Elephas maximus indicus: one gene and its partners. The protein of the gene in region 2 interacts with the protein of the main gene of each other region in a biochemical or structural test. Links are inferred from orthologs where the notes say so. Each region holds a gene or a part of one and is shown on either strand. Other genes may lie near its edges.

The links.
Region 1: of the proteins of histone H3 (region 2) and PRMT6, one has a biochemical effect on the other in vitro, tested with the Homo sapiens proteins (2 studies listed by BioGRID). The link is inferred for Elephas maximus indicus from reciprocal best matches to the Homo sapiens genes H3C14 and PRMT6.
Region 3: the proteins of histone H3 (region 2) and AURKB form a complex in vitro, tested with the Homo sapiens proteins (2 studies listed by BioGRID, with this or other methods). The link is inferred for Elephas maximus indicus from reciprocal best matches to the Homo sapiens genes H3C14 and AURKB.
Region 4: the proteins of histone H3 (region 2) and KMT2C form a complex in vitro, tested with the Homo sapiens proteins (2 studies listed by BioGRID, with this or other methods). The link is inferred for Elephas maximus indicus from reciprocal best matches to the Homo sapiens genes H3C14 and KMT2C.

What each region holds. Positions count from the first base shown.
Region 1 is NC_064821.1:174,631,542-174,639,764, forward strand, and holds the start of PRMT6 (protein arginine N-methyltransferase 6), read right to left. Parts: upstream 3,214-8,223; 5' UTR 3,176-3,213; coding exon 2,048-3,175; 3' UTR 1,953-2,047; exon of another isoform or gene 1,551-1,952; intron 1-1,550. UniProt on the Homo sapiens protein: Arginine methyltransferase that can catalyze the formation of both omega-N monomethylarginine (MMA) and asymmetrical dimethylarginine (aDMA), with a strong preference for the formation of aDMA.
Region 2 is NC_064821.1:184,006,344-184,012,026, forward strand, and holds histone H3, read left to right. Parts: upstream 1-4,411; 5' UTR 4,412-4,463; coding exon 4,464-4,874; 3' UTR 4,875-4,913; downstream 4,914-5,683. Other genes in the region: histone H2B type 2-E-like, read right to left, coding at 2,189-2,569; histone H2A type 2-A, read left to right, coding at 2,947-3,339. UniProt on the Homo sapiens protein: Core component of nucleosome. Nucleosomes wrap and compact DNA into chromatin, limiting DNA accessibility to the cellular machineries which require DNA as a template.
Region 3 is NC_064837.1:12,565,979-12,573,794, reverse strand, and holds the start of AURKB (aurora kinase B), read right to left. Parts: upstream 3,104-7,816; 5' UTR 3,045-3,103; intron 2,724-3,044; 5' UTR 2,699-2,723; coding exon 2,651-2,698; intron 1,215-2,650; coding exon 1,112-1,214; intron 1,005-1,111; coding exon 947-1,004; intron 702-946; coding exon 510-701; intron 223-509; coding exon 84-222; coding exon of another isoform or gene 74-83; intron 1-73. UniProt on the Homo sapiens protein: Serine/threonine-protein kinase component of the chromosomal passenger complex (CPC), a complex that acts as a key regulator of mitosis.
Region 4 is NC_064838.1:10,192,178-10,200,446, reverse strand, and holds the start of KMT2C (histone-lysine N-methyltransferase 2C), read right to left. Parts: upstream 3,176-8,269; 5' UTR 2,913-3,175; coding exon 2,752-2,912; intron 2,543-2,751; exon of another isoform or gene 2,236-2,542; intron 1-2,235. UniProt on the Homo sapiens protein: Histone methyltransferase that catalyzes methyl group transfer from S-adenosyl-L-methionine to the epsilon-amino group of 'Lys-4' of histone H3 (H3K4).

The DNA of each region.
Region 1 (8,223 bases), about 9.4 Mb from region 2:
CGGTGGAGACAAGGCTCTAGCATGGGCTGAGTCCAGGGCCCATGCTTTTATCCGCCATGCTATACAGCCTCTCGACAAACTGCTTTTACGTATTTCGTATTTTTACGATAATTTATGTTTCTTAGGGGAAAGAATAACAAGGATTTTAAAGCTTACTTTGCTTAGTTATTAAACACCCTTTATAACTAGTTATAGTTATCCAAAGTTTTAACTGGGGTTTCCTTTGTGTGCTCATCCTGGTGGTAAGAATAACATTTGGAAGAATGGTTTCATTTGCTCATAAAAAAAATACAGCAAAAGGATTGTTATAGGAAGTTGAACACACACAACCACTCCAGAAATCTACTCAAAATTGTACATTAAACCTTTAAATGTTGGATAAATGTTCAATTTAAGATAGTTGACCCTAAAATAGCTATTTTTAAACTAGCTTAAACCAAGCCTAGTGTTCTATTTTTATACTATTTTATGTAAGCCGTTAACTACCTTGACATCAAAATGGTGATACTTAAGACCATACTGCTATTCAATGATCTTGTAAAGTCAATGATTTTTATATATGTATGGTTCCCTTCATAATGGCAGGTCTCATACATTAGACACCACATTTTAGCAACTTAGTAATAATACAGAAATACTTTAATATGCAATGAATAAAGGAACAGAAAACTCAGTTACAGTAAGCAAAGTTAAAATAACTTCAAAGATGACCAGTTTTTCATAACTATTTTCTCTTAGCACACAAAGCTGTTGGCATATAAAAACTATATATTAAGCATAGTTTGAATTATCCTGCAGCTATATTCTGAAGGGGTTGTAACACTTTGCGTCAGATCTGACAATATTAAAAAGGCAAAAACATCATAGCTCAGGCAGTACACAAGACTTCTTACATCAGCTGGAAAAATAGTGAGAATGCCAATGTTTTATTTGCCACGGGGGTAAGGAGAGGAACATCAGTGAAACAAATCTGATAACATGACTCACACTTCATTACAAGTGATTTTCCTAAATTCACAACTTTCACATTTGGCTGAGCTAAAAAGAAAAGGAACTAAAATGGGAACTTTAACTATATTTCACTAGATGTAAGTAGGCCAAGTCACAGGATCCCTTCTATGTGAGGGAGTTCAAATGAGAATGAGTGCACTGTTCTAGTTATGAAAATATTTTCCTTAATTTAGTGAGTTTAAATAATTCACTCAGGCAATGAATAAGCCCTTGGGTCAGAGGCTGAATTCTCCATCAGCCTGTTTTGTAAGAATTGGGCAAAAATATATTATGGAATATATATAGGACATTTTCTGGTTAAGTCTTAATAGTTAAGAATAAAAAAATCCATACTACTTCACTCCTTTCAGGTCTTTTTCTCCTAAAATCCTTCTAAATGTTTTAGGTAATCCATTTTACTTAATGGATTAATTATCAACTTCAGCACCCTATAGAAGTAGTAAGAGTAATAAGGACACGGCTATTTAAAGTGCTCATTCTCCCCCTCCTCGTTCCCAGTCTTAAAAGTTTATTTAAAAAAGCAATGTAGGCAGAAGTACCATATATAGCCTTAGCTGGAATCGACTGGATGGCAACGGGTTTGGTTTGGGGTGGGAGACAGTTCACAGGTTGAGAAAATACCCCTTCTACCCTTCTCCCTGGCTTCAGATGTACATATGGTGTGAGAGGTGTAAGAGACTTGAATAAACGGACTCTTCACAAATCAACATTCTTCTGTGGGTCCCCCCTTCGCCCCATGAAAATAAAGAAATAGAAAAAAAGTGCTTGGTACCACAGGCTTTTGAGGCTTAAACACACATTAATAACTACGCTGTAGCGGTTGCTGTGGGGAATCATCACTCTTTAAATAAAAATTGCCAGCAGGATCTCCTCAAAAAGAGACTGAAGTCACTCTCCCTCCCCAGGAGACAAGAAAAAAGGCAGACAGATATCGCCCCTACTTGCACGTGGGATCTTCCCTTCTCCTCCGACCCCCCTACGCCTCTCCCACACAAGTCAGGCCGCCTTGGGAGGTAACTGGGAGAAAAGGCAGGACTCAGTCCTCCATGGCAAAGTCTTTGGTCTTTTCCTCCTGGTCCCCCACTTTGTAGCGCAGCAGCACACGCAGGCGGCGGGGGTTGTCCCGGGCGGGCAGCAGGGTGATCTCTCCGGAAATGTCCGTGTCTTGCTCCACTTGCACCGGCTCGTTCAGGTAGAGGAGCGCCTGCTTCCAGTGCGTGGCCGGGTGAAAAGGTGAAGTGGACAACACCAGGGGTTTCTCCGAATCCCCTCCGGGGAAGGTCACCTGGAACCAGATGGCGAAGCCGTGCATTGGCGCTGAGCCGTAGCAGCTGCAGCGGAAGCGCCCACCCACCCCAGCCTCCAGCTCCTGCTCCAAGCCGGCCCGGGCCAGTTCCAGCTGAGCAAAGCGCTGCGGCCGCGCCAGCACGTCCTCTCCGGACAGGCCTTGCACCACGATCTCCGAGTGGCCCATGAGGCAGCGCGTGGCGAAGCTCTCCAGGCAGCTCATGTCCACGCCGTAGTGCTGCTTCACCTGGCTCCAGAAGCCCAGGCGCCACTCCAGCATCTGGTCGCTGATGGGCGCCACGAAGAGCTCAGCGGAAGCCGGCAGGAGAAGGCCGCCCTCCTTCAGCCACTTGGTCCGCGCATGGAGCACGGAACTCAGCATCGACTCGTGCAGGAGCCCGTAGCCCATCCACTCGCTGACGATGGCATCCACCTGCTCCGGTAACTCCACTGTCTCCACCGGCCCCGGCAGGACGTGCACCCGGTCCTCCAGCCCGTTGAGCCGCACCACCTCCCGGGCCTGTTGCCAGATGGCGCTGGCCTCCACTGCGTACACGCGTCGGGCTCCGGCCTGGGCACAAAAGATGCTCAGGATGCCGGTGCCCGCACCCACGTCCAGTACCGTCTTGCCTCGCAGCGCTGACCAGTTTCTCAGGATGCCCAGGCGATAGGCATCGGTGCGGACACGGTCAGCGATCATCTCCTCGTGCACGGAAACGTCCGAGTAGCACTCGTAGTACAGCTGGTCCCGCTCCCGCTTAGTTCTCCGGGGTCGCTGCGGGGCTGCCTCCCGCTCTCCGCCATCTTCCTCTTCAGTTCCCTCCCCTCCTTCGCCGCCGCCCCCCGACTCAAGCTTTCTTTTCTTGAGCAGCGACATCTTGGCAGCTCCGGTCGGCTCCCGGCGGGCGTTGCGCGGCGTCGCGCGGTCCCAGGAAGCATGGGCTTCTGGGACATGTAGTGCCCACCCGAGCTTCTCACTTCCTGTTGGGTAGCCCGCAGGGCCGCAACGCGCTGCCTTCGAAGTCCCGACATACGTTTTCCGCCTGACAACACCCACATTCTGTAATTCTGTCAGTTTCCCCTCCTTGCCTTAAACCAAAACACAGACAAACGAAAAACAAACCCATTGCCGTTCAAAGCAACCCTATAGGACAGAGTAGAACTGCCCCGTAGGGTTTCCAGGCAGCGGCTGGATTTGAACTATCGACTTTTTGGTTAGCAGCCTGAGCTCTTAACCACTGCGCCACCAGGGCCCCTCCTTACCTTATTACCCTTCTTACCTTACCAGGCCCCTCCTTACCTTAGCTTCTCAGTTCCTTTTTTGCTTTCTCTCCCTGAGGTGGACACACCCGCTTAAACTAAAATTACAACTTTTGCCTTCTCTGCTCAACTCAGTCGTTTTATTCCACCGAATTAAAAGGGTCGCACCCCTTATCTGGAAAATTGCGACAACAATCTCTTCTATTTTCAGAGGAGGTAGGTGCAAGAAAATGTAAATGAAGCAAAGTAAAAACCTAATAATGAAAAACCTTGGTTCTGATTTAATCTGACTGCTAGTTGAATGATTTAGGGTAAATAACTTCTCTGGCCTGTCAATTTCCTATTCACCGACAAGCAATAAGGGATCTTGATTGCAGTGGAAGGAGAATTACGTTTCTGATTTTCATTTCAGGAGGATACTGTAGTTACTTGGCTGTCTCGTATCTTCTCTGCTACTCTGCGCTTCATACAAGAGTTAAATCCTGGACGGGTACAGAGTGAAGACAGGTTGAAAAGCAAGATGCAGTACAATCCAACCCACTGTCAAATGTATGCTAGTAACCAATTATAATACCCCTCCCTTCCCAATATCTGTATCCTTCATTCTTTCTGTCAGTTTTCTACTGCAACGCCTTAATTGTCCTATGTGTGTCTCCTTGCCTTGTCTGGGCAAAATAGTAGTCTCCTCTTGCCATTCTATTTTTCTTTAATTCATCCATCGCCTATTAACCTCTCTCTTCTTTGCTGACCATAATGGGGAAAAAATACATATTTTTAAGTATGTGTGATGTCTAGGAATGTCTATGTTCTTCACAAGTCAGGTAAGAACATTTTTCCCTAACATTAAAAAAAAAAAGCCAACAAAATTGGCTGTCCTTTCTTTGTGATCTTGAACTTTGTGTGTGTGTGTATATGTATATATAAAACCCAAACCCGCTGCCGTCCAGTCGATTCCAACTCATAGCCACCCTGTAGGAGAGTAGAACTGCCCCATAGAGTTTCCAAGGAGCGTCTGGCAGATTCGAACTGCCGACCTCTTGGTTAGCAGCCGTAGCACTTAACCACTATGCCACCAGGGTTTCCTCTCTCTCTCTCTCTCTATATATATACACTTTATTTATTTTTGTTGTTGAAAGCGTGCACAGCAGAACATACACCAATTCAACAGTTCCTACATGTGCAATTCAGTGACATTGATTACTTTCTTCAAGTTATGCAACCATTATCACCTTCCTTTTCCGAATTAGTCCTCCTGCATTAAATGTAAACTCACTACCCCGTAAGCTTCCTAGCTAACCTTACCAGCTGCTGCTGTCAGTTTGATCCCGTACGGATAGTTCTTAAAAAGAGCATAGTACTCAAGGCAGACTCTCTTTACTAAACCATTGTTTGGTTTAAAGAAGACTTTAGGGGATATTTTTGGTTTAACGTTTAAAGATTATTTTAGGGCAATAATTTGGAGGTTCATCCAGCCTCAGTGGCTCCAGAAAGCCTGGGTTCCATGAGAATTGGAAATTCCGTACTGCATTTTTTGAACTACGTTTAAGTATTAGGTCTGTATTGCTTATCTGGGGGAAAATTTCCTTCACCTTATTCTATTAATCCTTCATTAGTGGAATGCGTTTATTGATCTGGCATCCTCAGCTCTACTTCTTACTCAGGGCTCTCAATCCTGGCTGCTCATTAGAATCCTCTGAGGAACTTTAAAAAAATACCTGTGCCTGGGTCCCAGAGCCCTAGTGGCACAGTGATTAGGGGCTCAGGCTGTTAGTCAGCAGTTCTAACCCACCAGCTGCTCCTTGGAAACTCAGTGGGGCAGTTCTACCCTGTCCTGTAGGACTGCTATGAGTGAATCAACTTGACAGCAGTAGGTTTTTATGCCTGGGTCCCACCTCAGACCAATCAAATCAGAACCTCCAGTGGAGCCTGGGCATCTAGTTTTTAAAAAACTCCCCAGGGGATTTTAATGTGCAGCCAGAGTGAGAACCACTGTTTCTTATTAAAATTATCTGTTAAATTTTGCTTCATTATTTTTCATTGGGTAAATTGTCAGCTTTTGGGGGACGTGGGCTCGGGCTCAACCACAACCAGTTATAGCTAAAATTCCTTCTAGCAGTTCTTCCTCCACTCCCCTCCTCTTGGTTTAATACCTTGTTTTAAGAAAATAGAACCCCAGACATGGAATTAGAGTTGTAAATGTGACCACTTTAAACCAATTGTTCTGTAGTCACTTCTGACTCATGGTGATTCCATGTGTGTTAAAGTAGAACTGTACTCCATAGGTTTTCAGTGACTGATTTTTCTGAAGTAGATTGCCAGGCTTTTCTTCTGAGGTGCCTCTGTGTGAACTTGAACCTCTAACCTTTCGATTTGCAGCTGAGTACGTTAACTGTTTTTGCCCTATTTACTGTATACTTCTCCCATTCTTTCCTTTCTCAAAATGTCACCTTCTCTTTTTAAATGCATTAATTTCTCAATTTTTAATTCATATCCTTGTGATCTCTTTTAAGAAAATTCTAAATATAAGTTTTTTTTGGGTCAGCTCCACAATATATCTTGTACCCATCTACTTTCCTCCATCTCCACTGCCAAAACCCTGGTCTAATCCTCCATCTTTGCTTGCCTGGAAATCAGTCTACTCATGGATCTTCCAGCTTTTAACCACATCCTTTTTAATCCATTCTCCACGTAGCTGCAAGAATGAGCTCTTAAAAACCCATATTGGACCATAGCATTCTGCTTCAATCCTGAAGTTTCCCATTGTCCCCAGTCTACTTTTCCGATTGCATCTCACACTATTCTTCCCCAATTTTTACTGGGCTCAAAATATATAGGCTTTCTAAGAGTATAACACTTTCCTGTCTCAGGTCTTCATTTGCTTCTTCTAAAAAAAATTTGTTGCCATCAAGTCAGTTCCGACTCATAGCAACTCTACAGGACAGAGTAGAACTGCCCCACAGGGTTTCCAAGGAACGCCTGGTGGATCTGAACTGCCAACTTTTGGTTAGCAGCCATAGCTCTTAACCACTACACCACCAGGGTTTCCTTACCTCTTGTAGGGCCTGGCAAATTGTTTTTTCCTAACATTTGACTTGAATGGCTCTTTCTCATCCTTCAGGTCTCACCTTGATTGTCACCTGCCCCAAGGCATTCCCAGCCACCTTAAATAATACTTTCCATCCCAGGACACTGTTTATTTCCTTCATGGCATTTATTAATATTTATATGTACTTTATTTGTTTACTTGGTTTCTGTAAAAGGTAAACTTCAGAAGACTTGGACTTTTGTTTCCCCAACATTGTGGTCCCCAGCACTAGAATAATTCCTGGCTCATAGACAGCACTCAGTAAATACACCTGGTCTTGAATGAATGAATGCTTGGATACTGTCTTAGTCATCTAGTGCTTCTACAATAGAAATACCACAAGTGGATGGCTTTAACAAAAAGAAGTTTATTCTCTCACAGTCCATGAGGCCAGAAGTCCAAACTCAGGGCACCAGCTCCAGGGGAATGCTTTTTTCTCTGTCGGCTCTGGAGGAAGGTCCTTGTCATCAGTCTTCCCTTGGTCTGGGAGCATCTCAGCACAGGAACCTCAGGTCCAGAGGACGCACGCTGCTCCCGGCACTGCTTGCTTGGTCATATGAGGTCCCCATGTCTCTCTGCTCACTTCTCTCTCCTGTATCTCAAAAGAGATTTGCTTAAAACAGTATCTAATCTTGTAGACCTCATTAGTATAATTACCACTAATCCATTTTATTACATCATAGTGATAGGATTTACAACACACAGGGAAATTAGAAGATAAAATGGTAGAAGTCAATCATACAAGGGAATCATGACCTAGCCAGGTTGACAGATATTTTGGGGGGATATAATTCAATCCACGACAGAGGAACAATTAAATTGTTCTGTATGTTTCTATAATGGTCTCAAATCCCATAGGGTATAAGGCATTATAATATTTTCAAAATACATATGTATATTTTTTTTCTTTTTTAATCACTTAAAACATGAATTTAGAAATAGAAATGCATCTACCTTTGTGAGGCTGTTTAACATTAAATATAAATAATTAGAAACCTATAAGTCATAGATAGTTATTTATAAAACTTCTGAACTTTGACACAGAATCATGTGAAGTGTGTGAGGAATATGGCAAACAATCTTTAAGTTAAGTTGACTTTGACCTCATGCTGTGATAAAAGAGGACATAGCGTAGTTAATCTTTGTAAACTATCCTTGAGAAAAAAATCTAAACAAGCTCCTTAATCTCTAAACTTAAAAAAAAGTGACATTTGAGTAATCTCTAACCCTGGAGGAAGGACATAACATACTAGTCTCCGACGTCACACTGGTCCCCATCGTATGAGCCCAAGGTGAGGATTTCACATATAAACTCTGAATTCCTGCTTACTGAGAGAAGGTATTAGCAAAGAAATCTTTCTCTAGTCTCTTACTCTCTCTGAAGACTGAGAACGTGCTGAGACTCTGCCCGCTGCTGCTGCCGTCGGGCCTTAGCTACGAGGGACCACCACCAAGTTAGAGCCATGGTCAAGCCTTTCTCCCAAGACCTTTTGTTAGAGGTAAAAGCCTGAAGTCTATAAAGATTTGGATTCTAACTACTGAGCTAACATTGTAATTGTTAATTCTGATTCACTGGTTCT
Region 2 (5,683 bases):
AAATATATACATTGTAGGGCTATCAACTACTAAATTAAATTTCATGACAACATGAAAAAATAAAGTTCAGAGGTAGTCCTTAAAGGCAATGTTTTGTTCTGTTTTCTGAGCCCTGGATAAGTCAAACTACCAACTCAATATATTCACTTGAATATCAAAGAGCTTCTCAAATTTCAATCGGAAGCTCCTCCAATGCCCCAAACCATACCTCCTCCCAGGAGTCCATCCTTATTTCGAACATTGCTATCTACCCAGTTGCTCAAGCCAAAAAGTTAGGAGTTTCACTCATAACCAAATCCTGTCAGCAGATTATTGATCCAACTTCCAAAATATAATCTAAATCCCACCATTTCTCACAGTCTCCACTGCTATCACCATACTCCAGTTGGGTATCTCTAACCAAACCCAGGGGAGTCTCAGAATTTAGCATGCATCAGAATCAACTCCCAGGGCTTGTTAGATTGCTGGGGACTAGGAATTATCGTTTCTAATAAATTCCCAGGTAATGCTGATTCTGCTGGTCTGTCAGGTGCCTGCGAGTGGATAGCGACCCCATGTGACAAAGTGTAACTGCCCCTTAAGGTTTCCTAAGCTGTAACCTTTGCAGGAGCAGACCACCAGGTCTTTCTCCTGTGGAGCAGCTGGGTAGGTTTGAACCACCAACCCTTTGGTTAGCAGCCAAACACTTAACTACTGCTCCACCAGCACTCCTTCCTGTTGGTCTGGAGGCCAGATTTTAAGAACCACATCCAGCTCACAATGCTGCAACAGCCTCTTAATTTGATGCCTTCTATTGTCGGAGCCATTGTCGGAGCCCTGGTAGCGCAGTGATTAAGAGCTCGGTTGCTAACTTAAAGGTTAGCAGTTCAAATCCACTAGCCCGTCTTGGAAACCCTGAGGCAGTTCTATTCTCTTATAGGGTCATATGAGCCTGACTCCACAGCAGTGGGTTTACTGTTGCACTGGTGGGACAGTGGTTAAGAGCTGCTAGCCAAAAGGTCTGCAGTCGGCACCCACCAGCCAGTCCACCAGCCAGTCCGTGGAAACTGTATGGGGCAGTTCTACTCTGTTCTATAGAGTCATTATGAGTCAGAATCGACTCAACAACAACACATTTGGTTTTTGGTTTTGGTTTTCTGCTGTTGTCAGCCTAGGAACCATGATCCCCAAAGCAATCAGAGTAACCTTTTTAAAGGTTTAAAGGTTTAATGAGCTCATATTATCCAACCCTACCTGAAAATAGTCCAATGGGTTCCCAATACACTGGAAATAAATTCTAAAACCAATCACATTCCGCTTGCGCTACACCATATTTTCACTTTTTTTGCATTCCAAACTCCAGCTTCGGAAATTATACATATTTTGTTCCTATTATACGGGACTGTCTTCTGTATCTCGACATGGTTGTTACAAAGGGATAAACTCCGTTGATAATTCTTGGGAGTAAAACATTATCACTGCATGATTAAATTAGGTTCGGCTTCACGCTATTTGATGTAAGAAGCGGCAGAGAGAAGACACCAGCACTTAATTCCCAAATTTAAAAATCAAGATTCCATCTCCCTTACTGGGGAATCTTTACTTGAACACCTAAGTCAGGTGCTTTGAAGAACTAAGGACACAAACTCCAGAAATTAGTCAGCAGCATATATGAAGGAAACTAAATTATCCTTTTTCAGTGCACAGCACAGGAGCACGTAATGGAACAAATCTAAGTACTCCCAGTAACCTTACCACTTGGGAATAACCGAATCGTATTTCTTTGCTCTTACAGGTAACTTATCCTGCTTAACGTTTATCAAGGTTAATACAGCACAAACCCGTGTTTCACTAGAAAACAACTACCAGAGCACTTGAACCTTCACGTGTGATTCAGGTACCCAACGTCAATTTTAATAGCAATTGAACGAAGGACGAATCCCACCTACTCCCCCAAAGTTTTTCCCCCACCCTCCACGGCCATAAACTCTTTTCCCATTTGAGACAGAAACGAGCTAGATACCTGTGTTTAAACAAGGTTTAAGTTTTCTTAGACTAGACTTGAAGACAGTATCAAGATACAGCGGGGACACATTAAACCCATAGGGCCAGTGACAGCTTCTTTCGTTGACACAATGGGCGCCTCTGAAAAGAGCCTTTGGAACAAAGAAGCCGGAGACTGTGCGAAGGCTGCATCCCATCAGGTGACTCACTTGGAGCTGGTGTACTTGGTGACGGCCTTGGTGCCCTCGGACACGGCGTGCTTAGCCAGCTCGCCGGGCAGCAGCAGGCGCACGGCCGTCTGGATCTCCCGGGACGTGATGGTCGAGCGTTTGTTGTAATGCGCCAGGCGGGACGCTTCCCCGGCGATGCGCTCGAAGATGTCGTTGACGAAAGAATTCACGATGCCCATGGCCTTGGACGAAATGCCTGTGTCGGGGTGGACCTGCTTCAACACTTTGTACACGTAGATGGAGTAACTCTCCTTGCGGCTGCGCTTGCGCTTCTTGCCATCTTTTTTCTGGGCCTTGGTAACAGCTTTCTTAGAGCCCTTCTTAGGAGCAGGAGCGGATTTGGCCGGCTCAGGCATAATAAGAACTACCGAACTGCAAAAAAAAACAAAAACAAAAACAAAAAACCCGTCCCAAAACCACTAACAAAACAATCGAGCCGAGCCTGCTGGCAACAGCTCGGTACTTATAGAGGCGGTACGCAAATGACGGTTCTGACTACGCTGCTCTGTGATTCGCGGGTTTCCAGTGGCGCCGGTGCGAGGCGGGCCAGATTATGTAAACGAATGGATTCTAACCGAGCTATGCTATTGGTTTTCAGGACAAAGATGCGCTGTAGCCAATCAAAACGGTCCGCAGACAATCGCCGTTCTGCCTATAAAAGGGTGAAGCCGGGCAGTTGGTGGCGACTTTGGCGGTTGTTTAGGTAGAGTTGTGTCCGTGTGTTCTCGGTGTAATGTCTGGGCGTGGTAAGCAAGGAGGCAAGGCTCGTGCCAAAGCCAAGTCTCGTTCGTCCCGCGCAGGCCTGCAGTTCCCGGTGGGCCGAGTTCACCGTCTGCTCCGTAAAGGCAACTATGCCGAGCGGGTGGGGGCCGGTGCGCCCGTCTACATGGCGGCGGTGCTCGAGTACCTGACAGCGGAGATCCTAGAGCTGGCGGGCAACGCGGCCCGGGACAACAAGAAGACGCGCATCATTCCTCGTCACCTCCAGCTGGCCATCCGCAACGACGAAGAGCTGAACAAGTTGCTGGGCAAGGTCACCATCGCCCAGGGTGGCGTTTTGCCCAACATCCAGGCCGTGTTGCTCCCGAAGAAGACGGAAAGCCATCATAAAGCAAAAGGAAAGTGAGGTTGATGGCTGGAAACTGCCCGCCCAGCCCCCGTCCTCCGTGGTCATCCGTATAAGCCAAAGGCTCTTTTCAGAGCCACCCACTCTTATCAAATGAAAAGAGTTGTTGCAATATCCAGTCTCAGTTCTACTTTCTTGATAGTGATAGCGGAGTTTTCCGTAGCCGCCATATAGGAGGTGGGTGGGAAGTGGAATACCATTTGTTAGCTTTTCTCCCAAGCTTTTGAGTTCCGAGCGTTTTTCGTTTATTTCATGGAGTGAGTTGCGCATACTAGAACTAAACCCAAGTGGAGGCACCAAATACCTTGGGCTCCACCCACGGTCTTTTAACCCACAAGAAGATACTGGGCAGCACCAACCCGTTAGCTCGCTTGGCGCCGAGTGCGCCACTATCAGTTCCCGAAGCTTTGCCCACCACCTGACCCGACCCTAGTTTGAGGGATACGTTATCACCCCCTTCTACAGGGGAGCAGTTTCCGAGAGTGCAGCGGACCCGAGTCTCAGCTTAGCCTAGCCCAGCGTCTTGGGGAATAAAAAAAAACGTTTGTGCGGCGGAGATACCGATCCACACTAGGCTTTCGCAGGCCAACTCTTAACCCTTGGGAGCGGACAGCTTTCCAAGCGGAAAAGCACCGACCAGGAGGAAACGATTAACCAGAGCGAACGGGGCGGCCGGGGGAGGGTGGGTTGCTCTGTGAAAAGGTTACAAGATTTGGGGGGGAAGGGATAAATGTTTCATTCCGGAGCTACAAACACAGCGCAGAAAGGCGGGGCACGGGTAGCGTGTCCTAAAGGAATGATAGGCGGAGGAGAAACGGTCTCACGAGGTTGCAATCAAAAACGCCTCTCCGAGGAAAGAATCGGGAAAAACGGAGAAAAACTGTTGGCAAACTGGAGAGTAGGAAAGGGGGCGGGCTGGCGGGGGAGGTCGGAGGAGGGTTCTGTCCAAGCCTATCGGTGACGCCAGGGCGGATGACGTCACAGCCAATGGACAGTCAGCGCGGGACTTTCAATTATCCTCCCGCCCAATCCGGGAGAGACTGCGCCGATAAAGACTGCTGCTGCTGGAGGGCTCGCATTCCTGTCCCTGTCGCTGCGCCGGTTAGCTCGTGTCTTGACCCGTTATGGCCCGTACTAAGCAGACTGCCCGCAAGTCGACCGGGGGCAAGGCCCCGCGGAAGCAGCTGGCCACCAAGGCCGCCCGCAAGAGCGCGCCGGCCACGGGCGGCGTGAAGAAGCCGCACCGCTACCGGCCGGGCACCGTGGCCCTGCGGGAGATCCGGCGCTACCAGAAGTCCACCGAGCTGCTGATCCGCAAGCTGCCGTTCCAGCGGCTGGTGCGCGAGATCGCGCAGGACTTCAAGACGGACCTGCGCTTCCAGAGCTCGGCCGTGATGGCGCTGCAGGAGGCGAGCGAGGCCTACCTGGTGGGGCTGTTTGAAGACACGAACCTGTGCGCCATCCACGCCAAGCGCGTGACCATCATGCCCAAGGACATCCAGCTGGCCCGCCGCATCCGCGGGGAGCGGGCTTAAGTTACACTGCACTCGGCTCGGGGTTCCATCTCATCCAAAGGCTCTTTTCAGAGCCACCCACAACAGCATTCGAAAGCGGCTGTGTCACTTAGTCTGGGCCGTCACCGGGTGGACGCTCCCAAAGTCGGGGAGAGGTTTAGGGGGGTGAAGCCCTAGGTTCCCGGGGGTGGGTTGCGTAAAAGATAGGACGGGTTGATAGGTTTGCTTAACCTGCTTATAGACCGCTTAACTGGTGGCTTGGAGCTTTACAGGCTTAACTGGGTTCGTAAGGTCACTGGCGCTTGCCCGTTTTGCGTCTCTGAGTTGGCCACCCACTGTCCCGCACTGAAGTTTTCCGCCATTTGGGGGCCTAAGCTCTTGTGCTTTTTTTGTACACGGCGACCCAGCATGCGAATTCGAGTAGGTAGGGAGTGGAGAACGAACTGACAGCGGAAGGAGTTCCTGCGGACGGGAGCGCGCCTGGGTCGCCCTGTGCGGGAACGAAGAGCTGCCCGCTGCCAGGTATGCGCTCATCCTTTCCCCCTCGCCCCGCCCCTGCCGGAAACGGCCTCACCCGGCGCGGCCTAGTACTGGGGAGGGAAACCGCCGCCTCTGTCTAGCTCAGATCCTTCGGTTCCTGTGCTTTGGCTGCTCTTTAGGTATTGGTGAGGCCCGTGCTCCCCTCCGCAGCAGGACGTTATCGGTTTGTGCCACTGCCCTCACCTCCACTCTACCGCCTATTTGTCAAAGCTCCCAAAGCTCCCTCAGTAATTGTTTCTGTTAGGTGCCATAGAGGTGGTTCTGACTTAAGGCGACCGTATAAACAGAAG
Region 3 (7,816 bases), on a different chromosome or scaffold from region 2:
ACGAGGAGGGACCTTCCAGCTGCGAGCAGTGCACCCCGAGTCTCGAGCCCCTGCTGGCGCCCTGGGTGCCCACCCGCCCAGACCGTGGCTGTTCGCTGCTCATCAAAAGTGCGGCTCTTCTGCAGCTCCTTGTAGAGCTCCCCCCGCGGGGCATACTCCAGAATCAAGTAGACCCTCCGGCGATCATAGAAATAGTTGTAGAGACGCAGAATGTTGGGATGCCTGGGGAAGCACAGAGGAGCCTCAGTCTGCATCCTGGCTAGGAGCCAGGGAAAATGACAGGTCCATATGGGGCAAACAGGACCGGGCTGGGGACGCCAGGGCTGGGAGTGGTGAAGGGGAACACAGGTGAGGATGGGGACAGCTCTCTGGATTCATGGCTCTGGCCCAGTTGAGAGCTAAGCAGACACAGCTGCCTGGAAAGCAGGCTGGAGGTGGTGGAATGGAAAGAGAAGCTTGGGGCTGGGGGTGAGGGGCAGAGGGGCTTTGCTTGGAGGGTGTTGACCTACTGCAGATGGGCCTGGATTTCGATCTCTCTGCGCAGTTGGTGCTCCACACCCTCCTTCTCTATCTGAGACTTGAAGAGGACCTTGAGTGCCACGATGAAATGGCTTTTCTTCTCCCGAGCCAAGTACACATTTCCAAACTTGCCTTTACCCAGAGGACGCCCAATCTCAAAGTCGTCAATTGTGAAGGGCCGCCTGATCGGAAAGTGAGGGGAAGGCCGCTCAGTGCCAGGAGGTGGCATGGGTTTGTTGGTCATTTAAATTGTTTGTCTTCTCCCTACTCCTCAGCCCATCCTGCTCTCAACCCTCTTTCTCTTGGAAGGGAGCTGAGAATGGACCAGACTTTCCTGCCCCATCCCTACTCCACCTGCCCCTGGGGTTTACCTCCCTCGTTTCCTATCCCACCTCTTCTCTCCCACCCCGAGGCTTGGGGTACTTACATTAAGAAGCTGGGTGTCCCACTGCTGTTCTCTGTCATCTTCTTCTCACCAGGGGCAGCTAAGAGAGAACAGGTAAGTTGAGGCCCTCATTTGACCTTCTCATCCCTGTGCCCTCCCCATAGGCTCCAGTCCCTTCAGGTCAATCCTCTCCCTCGTCTGAGTTACCTGTGGGCTGGGCATTGGAGCGGCTCATGAGGACAAGTGCAGATGGGGTGGCAAGGTCTTTCCGGAATACTCTTTGGGGCAGGGTGTTTAGGCCAGATTGAGCCTGAGAAGGAGCAAGGGGTAGCTCTGAGGCGCTTTTGTCCCAGTGACTGGGCTGGAATGTGCTACGTGTAGCAATTTAGCTACTTGCTATGGAGCCACGACTCACTCACCCCCAGCTCAAAGAGGAACACTGATAGAATTCTGCCACCCAGCCCTAAGACTCTGCTCAGAGCACAATATTACAATGTGTTATTAGTTATCAGCCTAAGTTAGACTTATATAAGGATCAAAAGACTCATCCCAGCGCCTCACGTTTCACCTTTTTGGCCCTGGCCCACACCACATTCTCAGGTACAAAGCTCTCCAGCCTCTATAGTCCTGTCCATAACATCACATTCAGTCACCCAGGCCCCCCACCCTAGGGAGCAGTAGTGGACTGGGTCAATGAACACCCACAATCCGAGGAGTTTTAGCACAGAGGTATTCTCAGTCCCCTAAAAGCCCAGTCTTTAAGGCTCAGGTGAGGTCCTTGAAGCCTTGGACGTTGCAGCAAACACCAGTAATTAGCCCTTTGCACCAACAGGCTTTTCTGGACACTGAGGACTACTTTGGTGGCCTGGGACCACTTCTAATTTTCAACCTCTCAGGTTAATATACGCAACTTTCTTTTGGGAGTGACCAATGTAGAGGTGACAGTGGTTTCTCATTCAGCCTCCACTCTTAACAACCTCACTAAGTGCTCCTGGAGGGAGGGAACTGTTGGACAAGGGATAGATGGACCCTCCAGGATGCCTAAGCCACACCAACAAGGGAGCTAAGCCAGTGCAGTGTTTCTTCAGCCCAGAGAGGAAGAAACCCTAGTGCCCTTAGAAACCTGTCCCAAGACAGCAACAAATAAACAAGCCCCAAAATAGACCCACATATATTTGGGAATTTAAAACGTATAATACAGGTGGCATTTCAAATCAGAGAGTGAACTCTTCAGTGAAAGGTGTTGGGACAACTGGCTAACCATCTAGAAAATACTCTATTTAGATCCTTCTGCACTCTAGTTATTAAAATAAACTCCAAATTATTAATTTAGACTTGTCCTTGACCTTTTAAACATCTTATTTCTATTTCCGGTCTATCTTATTTTTTTCAGGACAAGGGTAGGGAATCGTGGCTCAAAGGCCAGACCCTGACTCTGGCCAGACGCTCAGTCCCAGCTATCACTTGAATGTGACAAGTAGGCTCAGTCAGCCCAGCAGAGGGGCCAGTGGTTGGTCAGATTCAAGTTCACAGCACTTGAGAAGCCTTTAGGACGTGGCTGCGAAAGACCAGACCGGATTCTTCTAGCAAACTCTTGGAGCCCATACAGTGGAGCATACTAGCGAAGAAAGTGCTAAGAGGATCGGCCTCTGCAGGACCCCAAAGCTGGCATTGGGCGCCTTAGACAATCTCCAAGCAGTATCTCGCCATAGGGATAGGGGGAGGAGGGAGAGGAAAGGGCCTTACCGTCTGCCGGCCGTAGGGCCAGGGGTAGGCGTTCTCCTTCTGGGCCATCCTTAGAGGGAAAGGGGGCGGGGAGCTGAGCCGGAGGAGGGAAACAGAGCCGTGAGAAGAACATAGAATGAGCGCACGAGGGAGGGGTCTGACCTTTCTAGCCGGAAGCGCCTGCCTGGGGCTGGTGGAAAGGAGCGGATCAGCACGCTGGCCAGAGTAGTCGGGATCCCGGCGCTTGCCATTTCGTCCCTCCCAGCTACTGGCCCCACTCCCCTCCAGGACCCTCTCTCCACTTTTATACGCCCAGCAGCCCAGCGGAATGCGCGCGGGCCCGCCCAACGGACCCCGACCTGCCTGATCACCTGTCTTCTCCCGGCGCAAGGCCCGCGGAAGGGGGCTAGCTCACCTGGAGCCGGCAGGACAGCTGCTCTCCCTGCCTCCCGCAAACGACTGAATCTGCCCCGACGCGCCCCAGCCGAGGCGCTTTCAAATCTCCCGCCCTGACCCCATTGGCTGAGCGCACCGCCCATGCCCAATTCTTATTGGTTGGATGTTCCCTGACTTAGGCCGTGGGAGCCCAATGGAAACGGCGGAAGGCGCATTTCCGCACTCTCGCATTCCGGTATGGAGAGGTTTTCTTTCCCCGAATCAGATGTTCTCAAGTTTGTTTTTTTTTTTGTTTTTTTTAATTTAAATCTTTAATATCTCTGGAATTAATCCGTGTGTGTATGAGTTAAGATGTAACAGATGGGTAGTCAGTTATGCCAAGACTATTTGTTAAAACTGCCACATTCCCAACGTGATTTAAATGCCACCCTTAATATATGAAGTTCCGGTTTTGGGTCTGTTTCTGGGCCCCCTGTTCTGTCACCTTATTTGTTCGTTTGCGTGTGTGTCTGTCCTTGGGTCATTACTATTTTGTTCTTAAAAGTCCTGCATCCACTAAAACGTCCCTAGGAGGAAGTATATGGACGTTTCTCTGCAAGTTCTCCTGCGGTTGCCATGTTGTTTGAACCTGCTCCGCCGCCTTGCTGCAACGTTCGCCTCTTTTCTGCTCCTTCCGACGCAGAAGTAACCCCACATACTGGTTTTGCCTGTTTTGAACTTTGCATAAACAGACCCATACAACATGTATTCTTCTGTGCCTGACTTCTCTTGTTCAATACTATTTGTGAGATTCATCCATATTGTCGATGTACTACTGGTTTTTAAATATACATGAACACGATAAAATTTAAACAGTTCGGTTAAAAGTAAGACTCTCTACCACCCCAATTGCCTAGTCCTCTACTCCTATCCCCAGAGGCAACCATTGTCATCCGGCTCTTCTGTGTGCCAGCATTTTGTTGTCAAAATGATTCATCCTACCAGTAGAAAAATGAAAAAATTACAGTGTGATTGTGAAGAGGAACTTGAAAGCCCCGGTCCCAGCCACACTCCCCAGAGGTAAATTCTACTAATGTATTTTGATATACCCTTCTAGATCTTTTCTATGCACGTATTAGTTTGATATACCCTTCTAGATCTTTTCTATGCACGTATTAGTTTGATATACCCTTCTAGATCTTTTCTATCACGTATTAGTTTGATATGCCCTTCTAGATCTTTTCTATGCACGTATTAGTTTGATATACCCTTCTAGATCTTTTCTATCACGTATTAGTTTGATATGCCCTTCTAGATCTTTTCTATCACGTATTAGTTTGATATACCCTTCTAGATCTTTTCTGTGCATGTATATGTCTGTCCTTGAAAAAATGGCACAGATGGAATCATCACACCCATTGCTCTCCGATTTACCTCTTTAAATCTTTCAGTTTTCCTTGGACATTTTCCCACATCAACACAGTCAGACATAACTCATTCATTTTTAAAAATAATTTATTTTGTTGTTAAGAATATACACAGCAAAACGTACACCAATTCAACAGTTTTTACATGTACAATTCAGTGACATCGATTCCATTCTTCCAGTTGTGCAGCCATTCTCACCCTCCTTTTCTGAGTTGTTCCTCCCCCATTAACATAAACTCACTGCCCCCTAAGGTTCCTATCTAATCTTTCAAGTTGCTGTTGTCAATTTGATCCCATACAGATAGATCTTGGAGGAGGTACAGCCAGAATGCTACTGGCATAAGGATAGAAATATAGATCAATGAAATAGAATTAAGAGTCTAGAAATAAGCCTATATATTTATGGTCAATTGATTTTTTTTTTTTAATTCTGCTTTAGGTGAAAGTTCACAGCTCAGGTTAATTTCTTGTTCAAAAATTTGTACACATATTGTTTTGTGACACTAGTTGCAATCTATGTGACTCCTCCTTTCCACCTCAGGGTTCCCTGTATCCATTCAACCAGTTCCTGTCCCCTCCTGCCTTCTCATCCTGCTTTTGGATAGGAGCTACCTATTTGGTCTCATGTATCTGATTGAACTAAGAAGTACATTCCTCACGTGTATTATTTTTTTGTTTTATAGTCCTTTCTAATCTTTGTCTGAAGAGCGGGCTTTGGGAATGGTTCAGTTCTGGCTTAACAGTGCATCTGGGGGCCATAGTTTCAGGGATTCTTCCAGTTTCTGTCATGGTCAGTTGATTTTGACAAGTGCGCCAAGACCATTAAACGGAGAAAGAATAGCCTCTTTAACAAATGATGCTGGTACGACTAAATAAATTTCCACGTGTAAAAGAATGATTGAACTCTTACCTCACACTATATTCAGAAATTAACTCAGAATGAATCAAGAATCTAAAAGTAAGAGCTAAAAATACACCTTAGAAGAAAAAAAAAAAAACAGGAGTAAATCTTTATAATCTTTGATTTGGCAATGGTTTGTCAGACACCAAAAGCACAAGCAATGAAAGAAAAAAAAGATAAAATTAAAAGCTTTTGTGTATCAAAGGATACTATCAAGATAGTGAAAAGACTTCCCACAAAATGAAAAAAATATTTGCAAATCATATATCTCATAAAGAATTTATATCCAGAATATATAAAGAACTCTTACAACTCAACAACAAAAGGACAAATAATCCAATTAAAAAATGGGCAATGGACTGAGACCAGAAGAACTAGATGATGGCCGGCTACCACCAACGACTGCCCTGACAGGGAGCACAACAGACAGTCCCTGACAGAGCAGAAGAAAAGCAGGGTGCAGAACTCAAATTCTAGTAAAAAGACCAGACTTAATGGTCTGACTGAGCCCGGAGGGACCCCAGAAGACATGGCCCCCAGACTCTTTATTAGCCCCAAACTAAAACCATTCCCGAAGCCACCTCTTCAGACAAAGATTAGACTGGACTATAAGACATAAAATGATACTTGTGAAGAGTGTGCTTCTTAGCTCAAGTAGATATTATGAAAATAAATGGGCAGCTCCTGTTCAGAGGCGAGATGAGAAGGCAGAGAGGGACAGGAGCTGTTTGAACGGACAGGAGAAACACAGGGTGGAAGGGAGGAGTGTGCTGTCATAGAGCAACTAGGGTCACATAATAATGTTTGTATAAATTTTTGTATGAGAAACTGACTTGAACTGTAAATTTTCATTTAAAGTACAATAATTAAGAAAAAAGGCAATGGATCTGAATAGACATTTCTCCAAAGAAAATATGCAAATGGCCAATAAGCACACGAAAACATGGTCAATATCACTGATTACTAAAAAGAAAACAAAAACACATTGCCTTTCAGCAGATTCCAACTCATAACAACCCTATAGGACAGGGTAGAACTACCCCACAGAGTTTCCAAGGAGCTTCTGGTGGACTTAAACTGCCCACCCTTTGGTTAAGCAGCTGTAGCACTTAGCCATTATGCCACCAAAGTTTCCTCGCTGATAATTGGAGAAATGCAAATCAAAACCACAATGAGATACACTTCATGCCCACTACGGTGGCCATAATAATTAAAAAAAAAAAAAAAAAAGGAAAATCACCAGTGTTGGCGAGAGTGTGGAGAAATTGAAACCCTTGTGCATTGCTGGTGGGGATATAAAACGGAACATATGCTGTGGAAAACAGTTTGGTAGTTTCTAATAAATTTAATATAGGATTACTGTATGACGAGCAATTCCACTCATAGTTACATATTCCAAAGAACTGAAAACAGGTGCTCAAACAAAAACTTGTACACGAATGTTCACAGAAACACTATTCACAATAGCCGAAAAGTGGAAAAAACTTAAATGTCCATCAACAGATGAATGTATAAACAAAATGTGTCATAACTATACAATGAAATATTATTCAGCCATAAAAGGAATGAAGTTCTGATACATGCTACAACATGGATGAACCTTGAAAACATTAAATGAAAAAAAGCAGCCACAAAACGACACGTATTGCATGATTCCATTTATATGAAATATTTACAACAGCCCGTGTAGTCGTGGCCGAGTGGTTAAGGCGATGGACTAGAAATCCATTGGGGTCTCCCCGCGCAGGTTCGAATCCTGCCGACTACGCTTCGTTGGAAACCCTGGTGGTAAAGACCTTGGCTGGTAACCAAAATACCTCCAGTTCGAATCCACCAAACCTGTTTCACAGGGTCTCTAGAAGTCGACAACGACTCGTTTGGTTTTGGTTCTGGTATCCAGAATAGGCAAACCCATAGAGACAAGAAAGCAGATCAATAGTTGCTAGCTAGAGGCTGGAAACCCTGGTGCGCAGTGGTTAGGTGCTATGGCTGCTAACCGCAGAGGTCGGCTGTAGGAATCCACCGAGCGCTCCTTGGATAACCCTATGTGCTATAGGGCAGTTCTGCCCGGTCCTGCCCCGCCCTCACAATTATTGCTATGTTTGAACCCACTGTTGCAGCCACTGTGTCAATCCATCTCATCGAGGGTCTTCCTCGTTTTCTGTGACCCTCTACCTTACTAAGAATGATGTTCTTCTCCAGGGCTTGTCCCTCCTGATAACATGCCGAAGGTACGTGAAATGAAGTCTCGACATCCTTGCTTACAAGGAGCACTCAGGCTGTAGTTCTTCCAAGACGGTCTTGTTCGTTCTTCTGGCAGTCCACGGTATGTTCAATATTCTTTGCCAACACCATAATTCAAAGGCATCAATTCTTCTTTGGTCTTCCTTATTCATTGTCCAGCTTTTGCATGCATATGAGGCAATTGAAAATATCATGGCTTGGGTCAGCTATGGGGCATCTTTGCTTTTCAACGTTTAAAG
Region 4 (8,269 bases), on a different chromosome or scaffold from region 2:
AACTATACAACCTACACTTTTAAAATGGAACAAAACATTAAAAATATCTAATACAATAAAACAATGCCCAATTTATTTACCTAATTATTAAACATTCAAACTGAAGAAAAGGATAGCTAACAGTGAACAGCTACTTTTTTTTTTTTTTTTTAAACCAAAAACAAATACACAAAGACCTCTTTAAAAAATAACAGTGTCATGAGGCATCTTCTTCGCTGGCTTAACACAACCCACTAAATTAGCGATCACCTAAATATCACTGACAATTTTAAATTATTTTCCTTACATTTCAAAAAGAATATTAATTTTCATTTCTTTGGTGAATTATTTCTCATTTCACATAATTTCGGCCATTAAAAACCTAATTTACATTTCTCATTCCTTATAAGAAATCACGTTACGTATCAGTTTCACTTTCCGGGTCCAGCTAACTACAGGGTCTTTACTGCATGAATCCCAACACCGTGTAGAGACACACAATTGAAAAACCTTCCCTTGGGTTTCCATTTCACATATTAGTTTCCATTTACATGTTTCTAAAGCAATTGGAGATTCCATTCCCTTCAAAAGACAAATCTAATTTCAAAGAATTCACTAAAAAGTTTAGAACCATCAGAGTTACTGCTAGACTTTGCTTTCTTATAAGGAACGCCATACTACTTTCCAAAGCTAAAGAAAAAAACTTAAGATTTAGAATTTTTCTAAACATTTCACAAAGTTTTGATGTTTTTACAGTGTTGGGTTTGTGTCATTCTGTGGAAATTTTTTAAATTCTCAAAGGGCCACCTTTTTCTTCATTCATAATATGAGAGAAAAAAATTCACGCTTTTATAAAATGGTAATACCCTAAATGAACCTTTTCTCCACTGCATCCTGAAGCTGTGCTAACACAAATGAGCTCATTCCAACAGCAGGGTAAGTATGTGTGCGTGTGCACATGTAAGCGTGCCTATGGGGTGAGGGGCAAGACAACATGGATAGGTCCACTGTAAAAAAGAGTAAGAATTTAAATGCAGATCTAAAACATACAATAATCCCAAATTAATGTTCAAAAAGACACCGAGAGATGGTTTTCAAACAGTGAAAATGGAAAGCAATCAATTAAAAACCCTACTATGGCTTGACTGGTGTTGCTTTGAAGGATACAAAAAAGTGGCAAAGTTTTAAAGTTACTTAAAACTCTACCTTCCTTCTCCAAATTTCAGTTAATACAGTAATAACAACAATAACGTTTTATGCCAGACATTATATTACAGCAGGAGTGGCGTAATAAATAAACCCTAACTTTGTATCACAAAGAAGCTAATATAATAATGCATGCATCCTGTACTTCTTGTTTCCCTCACGGTTTGTCATAGCTAGGTAAGAGCTGGCAGTAAAATATGGAGGCAAGCTCAAGGCCCTGAATCATTTTCACAATGAAAGGATAAAAAAGCACATACGGTCAAGGGCTGCAAGGGATTCCCACAACCGGGCCTTGTTACGCCTCAGTAAATTCTGTTTTTACTAGTTATCACGAAATATAACCATACTATTACTAAATGAACGCACCCAAACCGAAGAAACTGCTTTCCTCCACTTCCCAGCGCCCCTTCCACTACAACAGTTCAGTGAGAACCTCACAGAATGAAATGACGATCCTGTACACGCCATTCCACAACTTTGTGGGGCATTCACAGATCTCCCAGAGCGCACCAGAAAGCCACAATAGCTGAGCACTAAAAAGCTGGCACTAAAACGGGCTTCCTCCTTTACAGACAAAGTGGCCGTGTAACCATTTTTAAAAAGACATTTCTAATTTCTGGTGATCTAAAAAAAGGAGGCATACATTCCTAACCTACGTTCAGAAACAAAACCTGCTCCTAACCCAGAAATCGTCAGGAGTTACTACTTCAGGGTAAGTTGGGCACCACTTCCATCTGTATTCTATCCGAATCAATGTGCTCCCGATATCCTGCCTGGTGTGGGAAGGCTGGCGACGCTTCCAAAACTTCAGGCACTGCTTCACCTTCAGCCGTGTGGTCACACCGCGCTGGGCTTTGGCTGCCGAGCAGCGCGGACCCGGGTGTGTGCGGGGAGGGGGGACGGAGACGTCAACTGTCTTCCTAAATTCACATTAAAGGGTGAAAATACAGGTTTGCGATCCGGAAAAGTTGAAGGAACGCCCGGCTGACAAAGAAAACCAGCGCCAGCCCTCCGCCTTCTTCTCGCCCACCCACCGGGGCCCAAGCCCACCTGGCCCAGGCGTTTGACAGCTACGAGTTTCCCGAGAGCCGGCGGCTCCGTAGTTGGGGACCGACCCGCCGAGGGCACCACCCGGGGACGCCTCGGCGCTGCGTCTGTTTTCCTGGACGATCCACTTAGGCCAAGCCAAACCGACGAGAAATTTCCCCTAAAAGCCGCACGGAGCACACACACCGACGAGGCCAAAGTAAAAAGTAAAGTGTCGCGGCGCCCAGCGCCCGAGCGGAGCCTTATTTGGCAGGGCGAGCTGCGGCCGCTCCCGGGCCGGGCGGCGAGGGGCGCAGCGCGGTGGGCGGCGGGCGAGGCGTGGGGGCCCCGCGGCAGCGCCAGGGTGCCGACAGCGCCCGGCCGCTCCCCGCCCCCACCCCGGCGGCGGCGGGCGGCGGCGGCGGGCGGGGGGCGCGGCGGCGGCGGGGGCGCGGGCGGGCGGCGGCGGCCGGGTGCGGTGACAGCTCCGCCGCGGCGCCGGGGCTGGCTCCCGGCCGCGCTCCCTCGCACTCAACTTACTTCTTTCTGGCTCTCTGGAAAGGGGAAGCGCCATCTTTGCGAGGCCGGCCCCGAGGTCTTTTGTCTGCGGCTGCGGGGCTCGGGGCCGGGGCTCCGGGCTCCTCGGGGGGTGGTGGCGGCGGCTGCGGCTGCTCCGCGCTCCGGTCCTCCTCCGACGACATCCTAGTCACCAGGAAAGACACATGGATCCCGGCCCTCCTCCCGGGGGCTCCTCCCGCCGCCGCCGCCGCCGCCGCCGCCGCCGCCGCCGCTGCTGCTCTGGTTCCTCCTCCCCGGCTCAGCCTCTCGCATCTCCCGCAGCCCGGGGAGCAGCCGCAGGTACCGGGCGAGGAGGCAACATGGAGCGAGCAGGACGCGCACTCACACACATCCACACGCGGGCGCGCGCACTCGGCGCGCAGGGGCCGGCGGGGGCCGGGCGAGGGGCCGCGGGCCGCGGGCGGGCGGGCGGGCGGGCGGGGCGGGGGGCGGGCGCGCGGGGAGGGGCCGCCAGGGAGGGGGCTGCGGGCGGGCGGGCGGGCGGGCGGGCGCGCGCGGGCGGGCGGGGCCGGGGCCGGGGGCGGGGGAGCCGGGCGGGGGCGGGGGAGCCGGGCGGGGGCGGGGGCGGGGGGGCGGGCGCCGGCTCGACCCCGGGGCTCCGCCCGCCGCCCTCCCCCAGGCGCCGCCCGCGGCAGGGAGGCGGCGGGGGCCGAGGCGGGGAGCGCGGGCGGGCGGGCGGGGAGCGGGGGCCCGGGCGGGGAGCGGGGGCGGGGAGCGGGGGCGCTGCCACCCGGCCTGCCCCTCCCGCCGCCGCCCCTCCCCGCCGTGGGCCCCGGGGGGCGGCGGCGGCGCGAGGCGGCGAAGTTTTGACAGCTGCTCCAGTTGTTGTGGGCTCCGGGCTTTCTCCCTCAGGGCGGGCGCCTCGCTCTCGCAGCCTCGCGCTCTCACACTCACGCTCACAGCACACACTCGCTCACACACACACGCCGCTCTCACACGCTGGCTCGCACTCGCTCTTTCTCACACACTCGCTCCCTCACACGCTCGCTCGCCCCCAGGAGAGGGCAGAAGGAAGTTGTGTTGCTCGCGTGTACCACACACGCGCACCACCGTGGCGTACGCCGGGGCTGCGCTGCGGTCTCTCCCCCGCGCGACACGCACCACGGACCTCTCAAACTCGCCGCCGTCTCGCCCACACAGCCCTGCCTCGACGTCCCCGCTCCCACCCCCTTCCGGGGCCTCCCCCCTCGCCCCCCCGCGCGCCGCCGCGGCCACTCACAGAGCTCGCTCCGCGCCTGCGCGCTCCTGTCCCCCGCGGACGCGCCGCCGCGCCGTGACCTCACCGCCCCTCCCCCGCCTCCCCTCCCCCCTCCCGGCTTCCCCACCCCCTCCCCCGCCCCCTCCCCCGTCCCCCAGGTCTCCCTCCCTCCTCTGACGCGGCAGCCGAGGCCACAGCCGGCGCTCGGGCTCGGGCTGGGGCTCGGGCTGGGGCTCGGGCTGGGGCTCCGGTTCGGGCTCCGGCTCGGGCTCCGGCTCCGGCCCCGGCTCCGGCCCCGGCTCCGGCTCGGGAGAGAGCCAAGTTGCGGATGCGAATCTCCGGGATCTGGATCCAGAAAATACCGGAGAGAGAAAGGAGAGCTTTGTAAACGCTCCAAAATACACAGTCATATAGAAAAACCCTGACGCGATGGCAGCGCTCTCTGCCTCCCGCACACAGACACTCACTGCGTTTCTTCCCCTTTTCTATCTACCCGACATACACAATGAGTGTAGAGATGACATAGGCGACGTTACCGCCTTCATATACATCATTTTTTTTTTTCGTTTTAATGCCCGTCTGTGGAGAAAAAGAAATGGAGCACAACTTCACTATCTAATTCCAGTTATAGTTTCGTATTATAAAGTCATTTTTTTAATCCAGAAAGGGCTTATAAAGCCGCAAGGCAGACAAAACAATGTTATCTCGAGGAATAAAATGTTTAAAGTTGGAATAAACCGATAAACATCCAACAACTTGATTTTAACCTTCGGTGATTTGTGATGAAGACACAAAAATCGAAGCATTTCTACGCTACCTAAAAATGGTTTAAAAAATGGGACTAGAATTAGAAAGTGAAATGTACATTTTCTAAGGTATAACAGTTACGTGTTTCTGTATTTAATCCAGAGGTAACACTTGGACAATGTTTTATTCTGTGCTTTCCTTTCCATCCACTATTGATTAATACGTGGCAGTGAAAAAATTGTAGATTTGAACTAGGGAAAATATTCAGACCTCTGAACCACTTGAGAAAGGATTGTTGTAAAGAATCATTTAATTAGCATCTACTCTGGGCCTGGCACTGCTAGACGCTTTCTGATCATGATTCGTTTCAGTCTTCAGAACAACACAGTTTTAGTATGAGGTAAAAATAATATCCTGATTTTTCTAGGGATGTCTTTTGCCTTCCCATAATCCCAATAGGCAGGATACATATTGAATGTGGCTTTCGATTTGGACAAAATACACACACTTTGATTTCCAAAGTCTATTATGGCTAAAAGCATAGCTTTAAAATGGCTGAAATGAGGAATATTTTAAGACAGCCATTTGAAGTTTTCAGAGTTTAATCCCTATCGGCTTCTTTAAGTTTTCTGAATTTTACAACCAAGGGCTGTTTGAGTTTTGGGAGAAGCTGGCTTGGTGAATGCAAACTATAAATTAAAAACACCTGTGTATTATACATAGACAACATATACGTGAATGACTAATAATAAATTTATGAAGTGATATATTTAAAATTTATTAAGTACAAACATTAAAATTCACCCTTTCTTTTTCATTTTTTCTGCGCATTGCCCTTTAAAGAAAATACACATTCAAAAAGTGGACTGTTGATCCATATATTTTTCTGTGTCCAATATTGAAAATTACAACAGCCATTTCCAACTTCAAGTCTCATATTCTGTGAGTTTCACCAAATTGTACATCAGGGTAATTCAGTGTACTTCTTTAGCACTTAGGAGAATGTAAGTGTGGGATACACATAGTTGCAAGTCAATCCTACTGGAGACAACTTTTAAAAGAAAACAAGAAGGGACTGAGAAGAGAACAAGTGGGTAGAGTAAACGGCAGGACAGAAATAAAGATTTTTGCTGTGACGCTTCTGGAAAGATAAAACATGTTGAAAGGTGAGTAAACCTGGCCTTTTTATTTGGCTGCATTTCTTTGGCTACAGTAAGCAGAAGGGGAGTTGGGATCTGTTTTAAAAGGACTGATAGCAGGCTCTTTGGCATGAAGTTATCATGAGCAGAGCAAAGAAAATACAACCCAGGATCTGAGGAAGGGTTTAAGGAGTACATAAATAAAGGTTTCCCAAAGGTTTTTCCAACTCAGTCATCCAAATTGCACTGCTCTGAGACCACACTGGCAAAAGCCCAGGAGGCAGGTGGCTGAGGTTCCTCTAAATTATAAAAGTCAGAAGGGCATTAAGCATCTGGCAGGAGGACCAAACACCAAAAAAATTAAAATGTTTACTTTCTAATAAGTACACATGTTAAATACGCATTTTTTTAAAAAAAATATGGTACACAGGTAACAAACTGTTAGTAGTGATTAACTGGCTAAAGGGTCAGATTACAAGGGAGTTCCTATATTATGTTTTTTAAAATACTTGGACCTTTCGGAGTTGGTGTAGCACTCTTATAATCAGAAAACATATGTATTAAAATATTTAAAATGTCAGAAGGTTAGGATGGAAGGTTGTTGCAGTACAATGAATCGCTTTTATATGGCCTTTCTAGACATGGTCTTGTGACTCCCACAAAAATATTCGATGGGCCACAATCTTCTAAGGGATTGGTCAGGTTACTATGCAAACTGAGTAACTTACAGTTCACCAAGGGGATTGGTCAGTTCGTGGTCCTGGTGGGAGGGCCATGCCTTGAAATTGAGTATTAAGGCCAAGCCCACAGAGGGGCATCAAAAAGAAGAGTCTGGAGCAGAGATTGTCCTTTGGACCAAGGAATGAGAACCTCCTAGACCCGGTAGAAGAAGTGAACACTGAATACAAGCGCAAGATAGCAATAGACAGCGACAGTGGGCTTGCCGACCCACCGAGCGAGAGCTGAGCACCTTCAGGGAGGAGACTCACCAGCGGAATTAAAAAAGCTGTAATGCTTGTTCCTTCAGGGCGGAGGCCTGACCGTGCCCAGTGTAGGGGTTGCATGCCTCCCTCCCTGGACGGTGGGGCCTGAGTAATGTGGCACAACACAGCCCTGCAGGACCAGGTAGCTTGGCAGGAGCTGGTGGCAGAGGCCAGTGAGGACCAGAAGAGACCAGAAGACTTGGGAGCCGTGCAGGGCACCCAAGCATCATGTTGGTAGCCAGAGGCAGTGGCGACATGAATAGGGCATCTGGTATCTGACGTGAACCACGGCGTGCCTGCCCAGCGACATAAGAACGGACGTGGATAATTTGAGGAAGCGTAAGCATTTACCCTTCTCTGAATCTGTTGTTATTGTTTACCATTTGCTTTCTTTAAATAATAATAATGGCTTTCACTTTACCAACACTAAGTGTCTCATGTAGCACTCATGGAATGCCTGATGCCAGTAGGTGTATATGTCTCATTCCTACCAGTCTTATGGTTGCCTGGAAGTTTGAGGCACAGTCTGTCTGCCTGTGCTGTGCAGACAGACAGATCATACAGCTATTATCTGCAGCAAGGAAACTAAGCAAGGGAGAGTCTAGCAAACAAGTGACAGCGATTAAAAATACATACTATAATACCCACTCTTACTAACTGAATGCCTATGAAACGTCATTGATATGTCCTTATTGCTTCATTTTAGTGAATGTAAAGATATCTGTATGACTTTTCCATAGTTTCAATACTCAACATTGTCCCTCTCTTTCTGTTTTCCCATAAAGTCTTAAATTCCTCAGGAATTTTTAGGAACCAAACTTTCCCAGTTGTGGAGAAACCATAGAAAAATTCTAAGTCTTAGAATTTTTGTGTTCAATGTTTACTATTACAATTGCACTAAAAAAAAAAAGGTTACATTCACAGGTTATTATTTTTGGTCCTTTATTTTTCTATAGGAAAAAAATATTTTTAAAAGAATTCCAATCACTTGAAAGTAATTGTTCCTTCAGGGCGGAGTTAGTTCATTGTTAGTCCATAGTATATTTTTACCTTTAGAAATTCATATTGCTTTGTATAGGTTTTTTTCAGTAATTTATACCATATATTATGTATGTGATGGAAACCCTGGCAGTGTAGTGGTTAAGAGCTATGGCTGCTAACCATAAGGTTGGCAGTTCGAATCCACCAGGTGCTACTTGGAAACTCTGTGGGGCAGTTCTACTCTATCCTATAGGGTCACTATGAGTCAGAATTGACTTGATGGCAACAGGTGTGGATTTTTTTTTTTTTTTTAATGTGTGTGATGCAAAAATTATAGGAAGAAACTGAGAAGAAATAAAACAATCATCTTTAAAAATAACTTGTGGATACAAGTGTGTGTCATAACTAGATATTTTGCAGGACATTTTATA